Saccharomyces cerevisiae S288C: one gene and its partner. The gene in region 2 interacts genetically with the main gene of each other region. Each region holds a gene or a part of one and is shown on either strand. Other genes may lie near its edges.

What was found.
Region 1: mutations in URK1 (region 2) and CSS3 together harm fitness more than expected from each alone (negative genetic interaction), as found in Saccharomyces cerevisiae (one large-scale study listed by BioGRID).

What each region holds. Positions count from the first base shown.
Region 1 is NC_001147.6:14,730-22,394, reverse strand, and holds CSS3 (Css3p), read left to right. Parts: upstream 1-4,598; coding exon 4,599-5,114; downstream 5,115-7,665. Other genes in the region: ENB1 (Enb1p), read left to right, coding at 1,084-2,904; YOL159C-A (uncharacterized protein), read left to right, coding at 6,890-7,162.
Region 2 is NC_001146.8:644,863-650,418, reverse strand, and holds URK1 (uridine kinase URK1), read right to left. Parts: upstream 2,988-5,556; coding exon 1,482-2,987; downstream 1-1,481. Other genes in the region: PHO91 (Pho91p), read left to right, coding at 1-1,391; DEAH-box RNA-dependent ATPase PRP2, read left to right, coding at 3,469-5,556. UniProt on the Saccharomyces cerevisiae protein: Catalyzes the conversion of uridine into UMP and cytidine into CMP in the pyrimidine salvage pathway.

The DNA.
Region 1 (7,665 bases), on a different chromosome or scaffold from region 2:
TAGTTTTGTGTAGCATTTTCCATATGTCCTTGCATTGGTATTGTATTATAATAATGCTGAGAGAAGGGTTACTCTATAGCTCATTTGGCCAGATAATACGGCGAGTTATGTGCATATAAGAACAAGTACTAGTGAAATTATATATTATTGTTTATGATCAACAGAATCATCTCTACTACACACTGCATTATGAACTGCAGCCACATTTATCTAAGGGCGGAACGTACCTATGAAATGTCTCTACTACTTTTATGAAGATACTGATTTTTAGTTTGTCACAAATTTTACGATTCTGAAAACACATATACTTTCTTTTATGTTGATAGAGCAATAACACAATGGCCATTTAAAATCTAGCCAGCAAAATATATTCACCGGTTCGTACAATCTCATTTACTATTCCCTCTGAACGTCTTGACTTTGCTCCGCCAGCAAATTTTCCAATCCAACATGCAAGTCACGAAATGACGAATGAAGGCTGTATCAATCGTTCCTAACTGAGGATGGCTGAATAAAAATGAAGGGAAATTCTACGACAGTTTTAATTAGTTAATGAAGGGGTGTGAAAAAGTTAGAAAAAAAAAAAGTCAAATTCAGGAGAATAGACAAGCCTACATTTTCTGTAGTTCAAAACTTTTTATGGTTTGACTTTGTTTTTTTTTTTTTTCGTTTTTCTTTTTTAGTTGAACTAATGGGACCCTCAAACCTAAAATTTTCCGTTTTCGTTTAATCCTCGCATCATATATACCAAATAAGGACACAGGGTTTTCAGTGAGCAAATGTAAGGGTTTCTATGGATTATAAGCCCTTCGGATCAGAAACAGGGTTCCGTAGTTTGGGCAAGAATTGCCCTTAGTCCTGAGTCAACTGCAAAAATCTGTTTAAATTATTGCACCCAAATGTGATACAAATGTATACTATTATAGAGGCTGCCACGGCTTACAATTGCACCCCTCTGTGGCTTTTGAGTGGCGAAGGGTCTATGTTTGGATAATAGAGATGACTTATTTAATTGAAATGATGGTTTGGGTCCTAGCAGAACTCTAATATAGCAAAAAAGTGCTCGTGAATGTCTCTCTGAAAATGCTGGAAACTGATCACTCTAGGAATGACAATTTAGACGATAAAAGCACTGTCTGCTACAGCGAAAAGACAGATAGCAATGTTGAGAAGTCTACCACGTCTGGCTTGCGCCGTATAGACGCTGTCAACAAGGTCTTGTCTGACTACAGCTCTTTCACAGCTTTTGGAGTTACGTTTAGTTCACTCAAGACCGCCCTACTGGTGGCTCTGTTTTTGCAGGGTTACTGTACTGGACTCGGAGGGCAGATTTCGCAATCAATACAAACCTATGCCGCTAACAGTTTTGGAAAGCATTCTCAAGTAGGATCGATCAATACCGTCAAATCAATAGTAGCCTCTGTTGTCGCAGTGCCATACGCACGTATATCTGATCGGTTTGGACGTATAGAATGCTGGATTTTTGCGCTTGTGCTCTATACTATTGGAGAAATTATTTCTGCTGCTACTCCAACGTTTTCCGGACTTTTTGCAGGTATTGTTATACAACAGTTCGGTTATTCTGGATTTCGTCTTCTTGCTACAGCACTGACTGGTGATCTGTCTGGATTGAGAGATCGTACATTTGCGATGAACATATTTCTGATTCCCGTGATTATAAACACATGGGTAAGTGGAAATATTGTTAGCTCAGTTGCTGGTAATGTTGCACCATATAAATGGCGTTGGGGCTATGGAATTTTTTGCATCATTGTGCCCATCTCCACCCTAATATTGGTCCTTCCCTATGTGTATGCTCAGTACATTTCCTGGCGCAGCGGTAAGTTACCACCATTAAAATTGAAAGAAAAAGGACAGACCCTGCGTCAAACGCTCTGGAAATTTGCGGATGACATAAACTTAATTGGAGTCATTCTTTTCACTGCTTTCTTAGTTTTAGTATTATTACCTCTCACAATAGCTGGTGGAGCCACCTCCAAATGGAGAGAGGGTCACATTATTGCAATGATTGTGGTTGGTGGCTGCTTAGGTTTTATCTTTCTAATTTGGGAATTAAAATTTGCTAAGAATCCATTTATCCCACGAGTATATCTAGGTGATCCAACCATCTACGTTGCATTGCTAATGGAATTTGTATGGCGTCTAGGTTTGCAGATTGAGTTAGAGTATTTGGTCACCGTGTTAATGGTAGCATTCGGAGAATCAACATTAAGTGCGCAGCGGATAGCTCAGCTTTACAATTTTCTACAGTCATGCACTAATATTGTTGTCGGCATTATGCTGCATTTCTATCCTCATCCGAAAGTCTTTGTAGTCGCTGGGTCGCTTCTTGGTGTCATCGGAATGGGTCTTTTGTACAAATACAGGGTGGTATATGACGGGATTTCGGGTCTTATTGGCGCTGAGATTGTGGTCGGTATAGCTGGTGGTATGATACGTTTTCCTATGTGGACGCTAGTGCACGCTTCAACCACCCACAATGAGATGGCAACTGTCACTGGGTTACTAATGTCCGTTTATCAAATCGGAGACGCAGTAGGTGCTTCCATCGCTGGTGCTATATGGACTCAGCGTCTGGCAAAGGAGTTGATACAGCGACTCGGCTCTAGTTTAGGGATGGCAATCTACAAATCACCACTCAATTATCTAAAAAAATACCCTATTGGATCAGAGGTTCGTGTTCAGATGATAGAATCCTATTCGAAGATTCAACGCTTATTGATAATTGTGTCCATTTCGTTTGCGGCTTTCAATGCTGTTCTCTGTTTTTTCTTGCGTGGCTTTACTGTAAACAAGAAGCAAAGTCTTTCCGCAGAAGAACGAGAGAAAGAGAAGCTCAAAATCAAACAACAATCATGGCTCCGTCGTGTAATTGGATATTGAGCTGGAGAGTACTAGCGATACAAATATAGTGTTAAGCTCTTTCCTGAACTAGAATTCTCTTTGAAATAATCACTGTTAATGTAAGTAGTAATCAATAATGGCGTGTAACAGTATAATATTGTTGTCTGAAATAAAAAACAACAAAAAGTTCGAATTAGTTTTATTTTATTTTTCTTTTCTAACTAAGTGAATATCCATACGTTTGTTACGTTTATTTCAGCAATATTATAGTCTTAAATGGGCTTGACAATACAAAAATCAATGAGATTATTCGCACCTGTCATTTCCCGTAGTTTTTATAAAGAAATATAAAAAAAAATGTTGCGAAGAACTTTTACTAGAGCGTAAACGAATTAAAAAAAATTAGTAGTGTAAATATAATCACCACCTGCCGTAAGCCTGCTTGAGCCCTTTATTATTTAGTTTTAGCTGTTGCTAACCTGACTTTCATACTTCTTATAATTGACGTCATAAAAAATATTCAAAGTTCGAAAGAATGAAGAAAACATTGACCGACTTAAAAGAAGCAGTAACCCCACGAAATTTTAACCAGTGCTGATTGTGCGAGAAATCGACTCCAACAGTCTCAGATCAGAGAATATATGAAATATTAGTGGCCCCATACTTATAATGGTTCGCTGATTAATGTATAACAAGCGTGAAAGTATGTATAGCTGCACGGATTGTAGATAGAGCTCATTTAATATTAGGTATTTTGCCCATGTCATTTTTGTGCAAGTCATTTTCTCCTTTGGAACTAAATTTTCTTTAAAATATCTCATATACAAAAAATCCTAACTCACAAGTTAATGTTTTCCATCATAAGTAGACGTTTATTTAAAACATGTTATTATATATTGATCCACTCTTTGCAGTGTCGTTTTCCTACAAAAATTAGATACTTAATCTTGAGGAGTGTAGAAATAAGTGAAGGCGACATAAAGATAGAGAAACAGCCATGAAATTTAGTGAAAGCTGACACTCAAGAATTAGGAATGTAATAAGATAATGAATCACAACATATAAAATGGAAAGTGAAGTAATAATACTATTCTATAGAATAATCGACGATCCTTCATGAATTGCTATATATCTGAGGAGAACTTCTAGCATATCCTGCATACCTAATATTATAGCCTTCAATAATAATGAAAATCCTAACAATTATCCAATTATTCACCAAATTCTCTATTTCAACAGTAGTATTATGGCATTGATTATATTGCAAGCTATAGATTCGATTTCATGAATTCATAACACTCTAAAAGAGAACTTCTGCAATACTCTGTACAAATAACATTATTACTTTTACTAAAAATAGATTTCCGGACACTAACTTTTGAATTCTTATCAAAGCAGTCGAATGCCGCGTCCTACGGTTTATGTATATAGATTTAAAAATACACGTTAAAGACTGTTTTCTCCATAATTCTTGTTTAATATACCTATGAACATAAGCGAGTCAATCAAACTCGGGAGTAAAATGCTTTAAGGCACGCCGCTTAACCTTTTAAAATACATGTCTGAACATTATGTAACCAAACTAAAATTGCTTTTAAATGGATCCGCGCAATATCTAAAAACATTAACTATAAAGGATAAAAATTTTGGACAAAAAATAGCAGTAGCATGTTTGCTTCCTAAGCGTTTGAAGTCAAAACCATTTTTAAAAGGGTAGAGAGGCTTAGTAAAAAATGGTTCCCTTATTTGGTTTATTTTGCATTTTTTCTCAATTGTACTCATTATGCTCCGCATATGTTGATATCACCAGCGGTTACCAAGTATTTTTCAACTTGCCAACTAATATGACAAACAATCAAATATGCTGGCTATTCCAAGCATCTTACTATGATATTTATTCTGATAAAAGTGGTAGAACACTTAGAACGGGACGGTTTGAACCCGGCGATCAGCAATCTTTGATTTATAGGGATACCTTAGTTGAGTTGGAGGCTATTACAGATTCTTATGAGTACAGTAACCTAGATCTATCGACTTATAACGGACCTGAGCCATATAATTCTGAGACTGATTATTGTACAGATATAATGGATTTGGTAATGCGTGTATATGATGAAGAAGGACATTATGTTCATCCAGTTGCGAATAACTCAACAAATGCTTGCGCTCATCCAACTCCTCCTACGTTAAACAATCTATTGATAAGTAATTATTCTGACGGAAGAAATTATAAAGAGTCTTCTATATAATGGTGTAGTAAGGATACTGGAACCCTTTTATGACACATTTAGCAGTAAGATACATTTTTGGTTGATGTGATCAAGATTTTTTAGTTTGTAGATTTATTATATAGCACTGGGACATCATTAACATCGCACTTTCGAGTTAATGTATGTATACACAACATCGAGGAACAACAGCATCTAGGGTTAATGACATTGTATTGTATACTTTCGTTGTGCTAGTGGTGGCGTGATGCAAGAAGCTGATACATACCTGAAAATGAAAGAGGACGTAGCTATACGGTGTTTGTGGACGAGTTCACATACAGTACTGAAAAAGATGAGGATGGGCTGAGATAAAGTTTGAATGATAATGAATATTATTACATCTTCTTTCATTTTATATACCGTCATTCATTATCCCATGAAATTATCAAGCCTCGCGTTTCAACCTCTACTAAAATCGTTGACTGTTTCTCAATATTTATGTCTTTCTTACGTTGTATACGATAATATACACGTACTATGGATACTAGTCGATATATGATAGTTAATTCTCATTCCAATAAAAGTCGACACTACCGCTACCACCTAAAGTTATACTGTTTTTATGCGTGCGTACGCAACAGTTCATCAGAAAAATGTCTATCGTCAGAATCATCCCTCTGACATTTCAATTCCAAAAAGATTGCTCTATCTTTGGAAAGTGGCTAAACCTAGGAGTATTATAAAACTCACAAGTTCTTAGAACTTGCTTCGAGAGATCATAACAGGACAAGTATAATACGAGACGGAATAAGATTATCATACCAAAGATACAAAATAAAACAATTGGTAGTCTAAGGTGACAAAATTAACTGAAGCTGTAGCTAGCAATAAAAAAAAGATTCAAGATGTTCAGGGAGTGACGTATATTCCAATGCTTCCAATACAGCAGGCTTCAAGATTGTTGCTTCACTTTCAGGGCGGTGATTTGAAAGCAAACTCCCAAATTTACACTTAATTCTTCTCCTGAGCTGTTCAATGCAAAATGCACAAATTGTTATTTCCCATATAATAATTCCAGTTGACAGCACTATATCTAAAGGTTTCCGTATAATGATGATTTACCGCGTAGTATCATATAAGGGAGTAACAACAGCATTAATTATCGTGCCATTACTAAAAATAACTTAAGCATCAAGCGTAAATTATTGAACTCCAAACTCTATCAAACACTTAAAATAAACCAATATTGAAGAAAATTCGCAATATGTTGTAAAGATTCTGCTGACTAGAAATGGCAGGTAGGATTTTTTTTTTCTATCTAAAATGGTAAGATGAGCATTTTTTACTTGGAACGAGTGTAAAAACAGCAAGGTTACAGCCACATAATTCTCTAATAATACTGATGGAAAGCCGTCTTATTCGGAAGCTGTGAGTATTTTTTTCGTTGATTTGTTGCCAAAAAAATCCATGCAGAAGTGTACTCACTGGTTTTCATTTACCTTTTCAGCAGCACACCTGCCTGCCCCTTATTTTTAACGATTTCTTTCCATTTAGCGTAACTGCTGCCTCGGATTATTATGGTGTTTTTCCACCAGCTCTGCTTAAAGCGTAGAGTTCGCTTGTCTTCTCCCTCCCATCAACAGGAATTTTATTGATCGCGTAATTTCCTACCGACAGTTTGCAGAATGCCAGGTCAGACAGATTAAATATTAAATGAATAGCCCCATAGAATAAGTACTATATATACGCTGCTAGTTTCTTTGTTTTGTCGAGTTTGGGACCAAACCAATACCATTTGTGGAATCACTGCACATATGCAATACTGTGAACTCGATTTATCAGGGCAGTGGCTGGATACAGTATATTGTGAAGAGAATTTCTCCGACTTTGTCTTTATAAAGTTTCTAAATCCTTCACAGTTTGAAGAGAAGATATATTGTTATACTTTACATATCACCAAAAGGACACTAGAAAATAAGAGATTACTTTTGTATTATGAAGATGAATTCAAAAAACATGGTCACGATATTAATGAGCTTGTTGGCGACGGTATAATCTTGCGTTCATGCTGGAACCCTCGACAGTAATCAGACCGAGATTCATGCGTATGCTAGCTCTGTTGTCGACTCAGTAAACTTACAGCAAACCAATGGTACTATCAATCTAATCATAACTGAATTCAATGGTACTACCATTGGCTTTGATACAAACGTTACCAAAATTAATATTCTTGACGCCGACTTTTCTTTTCTTCGCCAACAAGTCAACCAAGAAATGCTAAAAAGAGGAAAAGGGTGTCTTAACGCAAGGTATCGTATCTCGACTGGAGGTTGTACTGATTGCGGTAAATCGCTCGGCTATTCATCTGCACACAATTGCGGTGGAAAGGGCTATTCATGCATTAAAACGTGCACAGAGAAGAATGGTCATGTTTGCTGTGAAGAGTGGTGTGGATCCAAACGCGCTGTCCAAAAAGAGGGATTTGAGAGTGGATGCTGCTTTAATAATCAATGTTACGGTGGCCATGACCACCATGATGAGCTTTAAATAATAAAGTTTAGGTAATATATATAAAGTGGGATAGTATACA
Region 2 (5,556 bases):
TTCTGTTAATCACCTCATGTTTCATTGCATTATTAACTTTTAATTTGACTCCTTTTACGCAGGATTCCTTACAGAAAAACTGTTTCGCCATCTTAATATATGCATCTTTATTATGGGCCACTGAGACCATCCCCCTTTTCGTGACTTCTCTAATGATTCCTCTGCTTATTGTAGTGTTCCCTGTTATCAAGGACCCTATCACCTCCCAACCAATGTCTCCCCGTGATTCCTCTCAGTTCATCTTATCAACGATGTGGTCGAGTGTCATCATGCTTTTGCTGGGTGGGTTTACTTTAGCAGCCGCCCTTTCCAAGTACAACATTGCCAAAGTCCTTTCTACGCATATTTTGGCATCCGCCGGTACAAACCCACATTTTATTCTTTTAACAAATATGTTTGTGGCGCTCTTTGTTTCCATGTGGGTTTCTAATGTTGCTGCCCCCGTTCTTTGCTATTCAATTGTTCAACCTTTGCTCAGAACACTGCCAAGAAATTGTTCCTATGCCAAAGCTCTAATTCTTGGTATCGCTCTTGCCTCCAATATCGGTGGTATGTCTTCTCCCATCGCTTCTCCTCAAAACATTTTTTCTATTGGTATAATGGACCCTTCACCATCTTGGGCTGAATGGTTTATGATTGCGCTACCTGTGTGCTTTATTTGTGTCATGGCAATTTGGGTGCTATTGATCATAACCTTCCCTCCTGAGCCAAATGTGAAAATTTTGCAATTGCATCCATCCCGTGATCCATTCACTCTGAAGCAATGGTTTGTCACTTTAGTTTGCATTATAACAATTGTTCTTTGGTGTCTTTCAAACCAAATCTCCGGTATCTTTGGTGAAATGGGAATCATATCTATTATACCTATAGTAGTCTTCTTCGGTACAGGTCTTCTAACTTCGGATGATTTCAATAATTTCATGTGGACAATCGTTGTTTTGGCCATGGGAGGTACCACCCTAGGTAAGGCGGTAAGCTCATCCGGTTTATTGTCTACAATGGCACAGTTAATTAAGGCGCAGGTTGAGCATGAACCAATCTTCATTATTGTGTTGATCTTCGGTCTAGTGATTCTTGTAATGGCCACTTTTGTCTCCCATACCGTCGCGGCAATGATCATCGTACCATTAATGAGTGAGATCGGTTCCAATCTACCTTCAGGTGATCATTCTAGACTATTGATCGTTATAGCCGCCCTATTATGCTCTAGTGCTATGGGTCTTCCAACCTCTGGTTTCCCCAACGTGACTGCCATTTCAATGATTGATGAAGTTGGTGATAGATATTTGACCGTGGGTACATTTATTACGAGAGGTGTACCAGCCAGTTTGTTAAGTTATGCCGCTATTGTTACAGTAGGTTATGGCATATTGAAAGTAATGGGATTTTAAGATTATCCATAGAGAGAATGAAAGGTTACTAATATAGTATGTATACGTGCACTATTATTTAATTTTACTTTATATTGCCTCTAATTATTCTCAATCACAACCAAAATACTTTGAATCAAAAAATCTGGTCAATGCCCATTTGTATTGATGATTTTGTAACTTTTCTCTGGAGATGATCATACCAGCAAAAATGTTGACTTTGTTATCAAATGCATTTAATATACGTCGGATACCAACTTCAGTGGCCAAATAAACCACCACGCTAATCTTTTCCAAATCAATACCATGATCTAAAAGCACCTGGATGGCCATGATCATGGCCGCACCACTTATGATTTGACCTTCCATTAAGAAAACCTTGCCAAACTTTTCTATATTTGGGGGTAAAAATTCGCAATGCAGTTGAGGTTCCCCAGTTTGTGAATCGGACTGAATCAACAATTTACCAATTGTGATATTGGGGATCGTCTTTCTCAAAGACTTCATAAAACAATCGCCAGATCGAATAATATTAACAGCTGTAACTTGATCGAATTGACAGGCAATAACGTTTTCCATGGTATGCTCACCAGGTGTAATTATGTTCGTATGTGCTACAGGAATGTCATCAAGTGCCCATGATAACAAAATTGTTGCTAACCTGTCAAAGTAGAAAACAAAGTCCGCGCAATTTAGATTTTTATTTAGAAGCATAGTATGCAGCGAAAGAACTTGGTTGGTGGGCGGCAATTCATGAATTATGTTACGATTAAGCACATCTTGTGAAGGAGAAGAGCCCAATTTGATTAGCTCTCTTAAGTGTTCATTTGATTTTAGTTCCAGTTTTGACTTGATGTGGTTAATGATTAAATTTACCGCTGTAGCATTATCACTCATCGATGGAATGATAGCATCTGCATTCTTCATTGTTGGTTTCACAAACTTTACCGCATTTGGTTTCACAAATTTCTCCCATTGTTGAATACAACCATCCAAATCTCTCCCTCTGGAAACTATATCTCTCGACAATCTTCTTGCTAAGCAGACATCCAAATCAGCGTCAACATAAATTTTCAAGTCCATCAAATCCAGCAATCGGCGATCGTAAAGGGCGTAGATCCCTTCGATAACTACCACACTGGCCCCGTATATGACTATATTTTTATCAGGAACTCTATTGTGGTGGACGAAGCTATAAACTGGGATATTTGTCCTTTTGCCCTCCTTTAAGTTCAAAATGCACTTATATGCCAAATCTAAGTTGATGGCATTTGGCTCGTCGAAATCGTATTCATTTTTAAAGGCTCTGGCTCTGTCCTCTGGGCCTAATGGATTGTAAAAGTTATCCAAAGATATTAATACTGTCCAGGGAACATTAATTGACGACACAATCTTAGCAGCAACGCTTGTCTTGCCTGAACCTGAAGCACCACCTATACCTATTATATATGGAGTTGTCCATGGTGGGATATACCGAGAGCTTTTTCCTTTTGTTTTTTTGACATCTACTTCACCATCCATGACTGCATTAGCTTTCAATGTGTCTCTTGTTTCATCGTCTAAAATTGAAATAAATGATGAAGATCGTTCTTTGGAAGGTGCTATACGATGGGACATAATAAATAAAATAAATGCGAGTTCGAAATTAAACGTATGAAATTATCGAAGATGTCGCATATAAATAGTAAATAAGACGTTATCCAAGGCCTACAGCCTTACGAAAAAAAAAAAAAATCACATCTCTTATCTTATCGATCTAAATTTTTCAGTTTCCTTTTTTCATCTCGAAGCTCATCGCATGAAAAAAAAACTTCGATATGTGAGCGTATTAAGACAATAGAGGAAATAGTGAGAACAAGTGGGAAAATTAAAGACTAATCATCGAAAATATGCAAGAATTCTTTAAGTGCTCGTATCTCAAATGTAGCCAAAACAGTACTAGCCCATACAACCTGATGACGAGAACGTGCTGAAAGTGGAAGACAGTTAGTTACCCGGACAATTAAAAAGTGATATTAATCAATTGTATAAGTAATAACGGATAGCTGCTATATGTTTAATTGGCATCTATATAGATAACAAGCGTGTATAGCAACACATGTCAAGTATTACATCTGAAACCGGTAAGCGAAGAGTGAAACGAACGTATGAAGTTACAAGACAGAATGACAATGCAGTAAGAATAGAGCCTTCTTCCTTGGGTGAGGAAGAAGACAAAGAGGCCAAGGATAAGAACTCTGCCTTGCAGCTAAAACGATCACGCTATGACCCCAATAAAGTTTTTTCTAATACGAACCAAGGTCCAGAAAAGAACAATTTAAAAGGAGAACAACTTGGATCACAAAAAAAGTCATCAAAGTATGATGAAAAAATAACGTCAAATAATGAACTTACTACAAAGAAGGGTCTACTAGGTGACTCCGAGAATGAAACTAAGTACGCCTCTTCTAATTCTAAATTTAACGTAGAAGTTACTCATAAAATAAAGAATGCAAAAGAAATTGACAAAATAAACAGACAACGCATGTGGGAAGAACAACAATTGCGAAATGCTATGGCGGGGCAAAGCGATCACCCTGATGATATAACATTGGAAGGCTCTGACAAGTACGATTATGTGTTCGACACAGATGCAATGATTGATTATACTAATGAGGAGGACGATTTACTACCTGAAGAGAAACTTCAATATGAGGCACGTCTAGCACAAGCTTTAGAAACTGAGGAAAAGCGTATACTGACTATACAAGAGGCAAGAAAACTTTTGCCTGTACATCAATACAAGGATGAGCTACTACAAGAGATCAAAAAAAATCAAGTTTTGATTATAATGGGTGAAACCGGTTCTGGTAAAACCACACAGTTACCCCAATATTTGGTAGAAGATGGATTCACTGATCAGGGAAAGTTACAGATTGCCATAACACAACCACGTCGTGTGGCGGCCACTTCTGTTGCTGCAAGAGTAGCAGATGAAATGAATGTTGTGCTTGGGAAGGAAGTGGGTTATCAGATCCGTTTTGAAGACAAAACAACCCCAAATAAAACGGTTCTAAAGTATATGACGGATGGTATGTTACTAAGAGAATTTCTTACAGATTCCAAATTAAGCAAATATTCTTGTATTATGATTGATGAAGCTCATGAACGTACTCTAGCCACAGATATCCTGATAGGTTTGCTGAAAGATATTTTGCCGCAGAGGCCCACTTTAAAATTGCTTATATCATCAGCAACAATGAACGCAAAAAAATTTTCAGAGTTTTTTGATAATTGTCCCATTTTCAACGTTCCTGGGAGAAGATATCCTGTAGATATCCACTACACATTACAGCCGGAGGCAAACTATATACATGCCGCTATAACAACTATTTTTCAAATTCATACTACGCAAAGTTTACCGGGGGATATATTGGTGTTTTTAACGGGGCAAGAAGAAATTGAAAGAACAAAAACCAAACTGGAGGAGATCATGTCTAAATTAGGTTCTAGAACAAAACAAATGATTATAACTCCTATATACGCAAATTTACCCCAAGAGCAGCAATTGAAAATTTTCCAGCCGACTCCGGAAAATTGTAGGAAAGTTGTTTTGGCAACTAATATTGCGGAAACTTCATTGACCATTGATGGTATTAGATATGTCATTGATCCTGGATTTGTTAAGGAAAATTCGTACGTACCCTCCACTGGAATGACCCAACTTTTAACAGTTCCATGCTCAAGAGCTTCAGTTGATCAGCGTGCCGGTAGGGCTGGTCGTGTTGGGCCGGGAAAATGTTTTAGAATTTTTACCAAATGGTCATATTTGCACGAGTTGGAACTTATGCCTAAGCCTGAGATCACAAGAACAAATCTTTCTAATACGGTGTTATTATTATTATCGCTTGGCGTTACTGACCTAATAAAGTTTCCCCTGATGGATAAGCCCAGTATCCCCACATTACGGAAGTCTTTGGAAAATTTATACATTTTAGGTGCCTTAAATAGCAAAGGGACAATCACTCGGTTAGGTAAAATGATGTGCGAGTTTCCTTGTGAACCTGAATTTGCAAAAGTGCTTTATACAGCTGCTACGCACGAACAATGTCAAGGTGTACTAGAAGAGTGTTTGACCATAGTTTCGATGCTACATGAAACACCTTCATTATTTATTGGTCAAAAAAGAGATGCTGCGGCAAGTGTG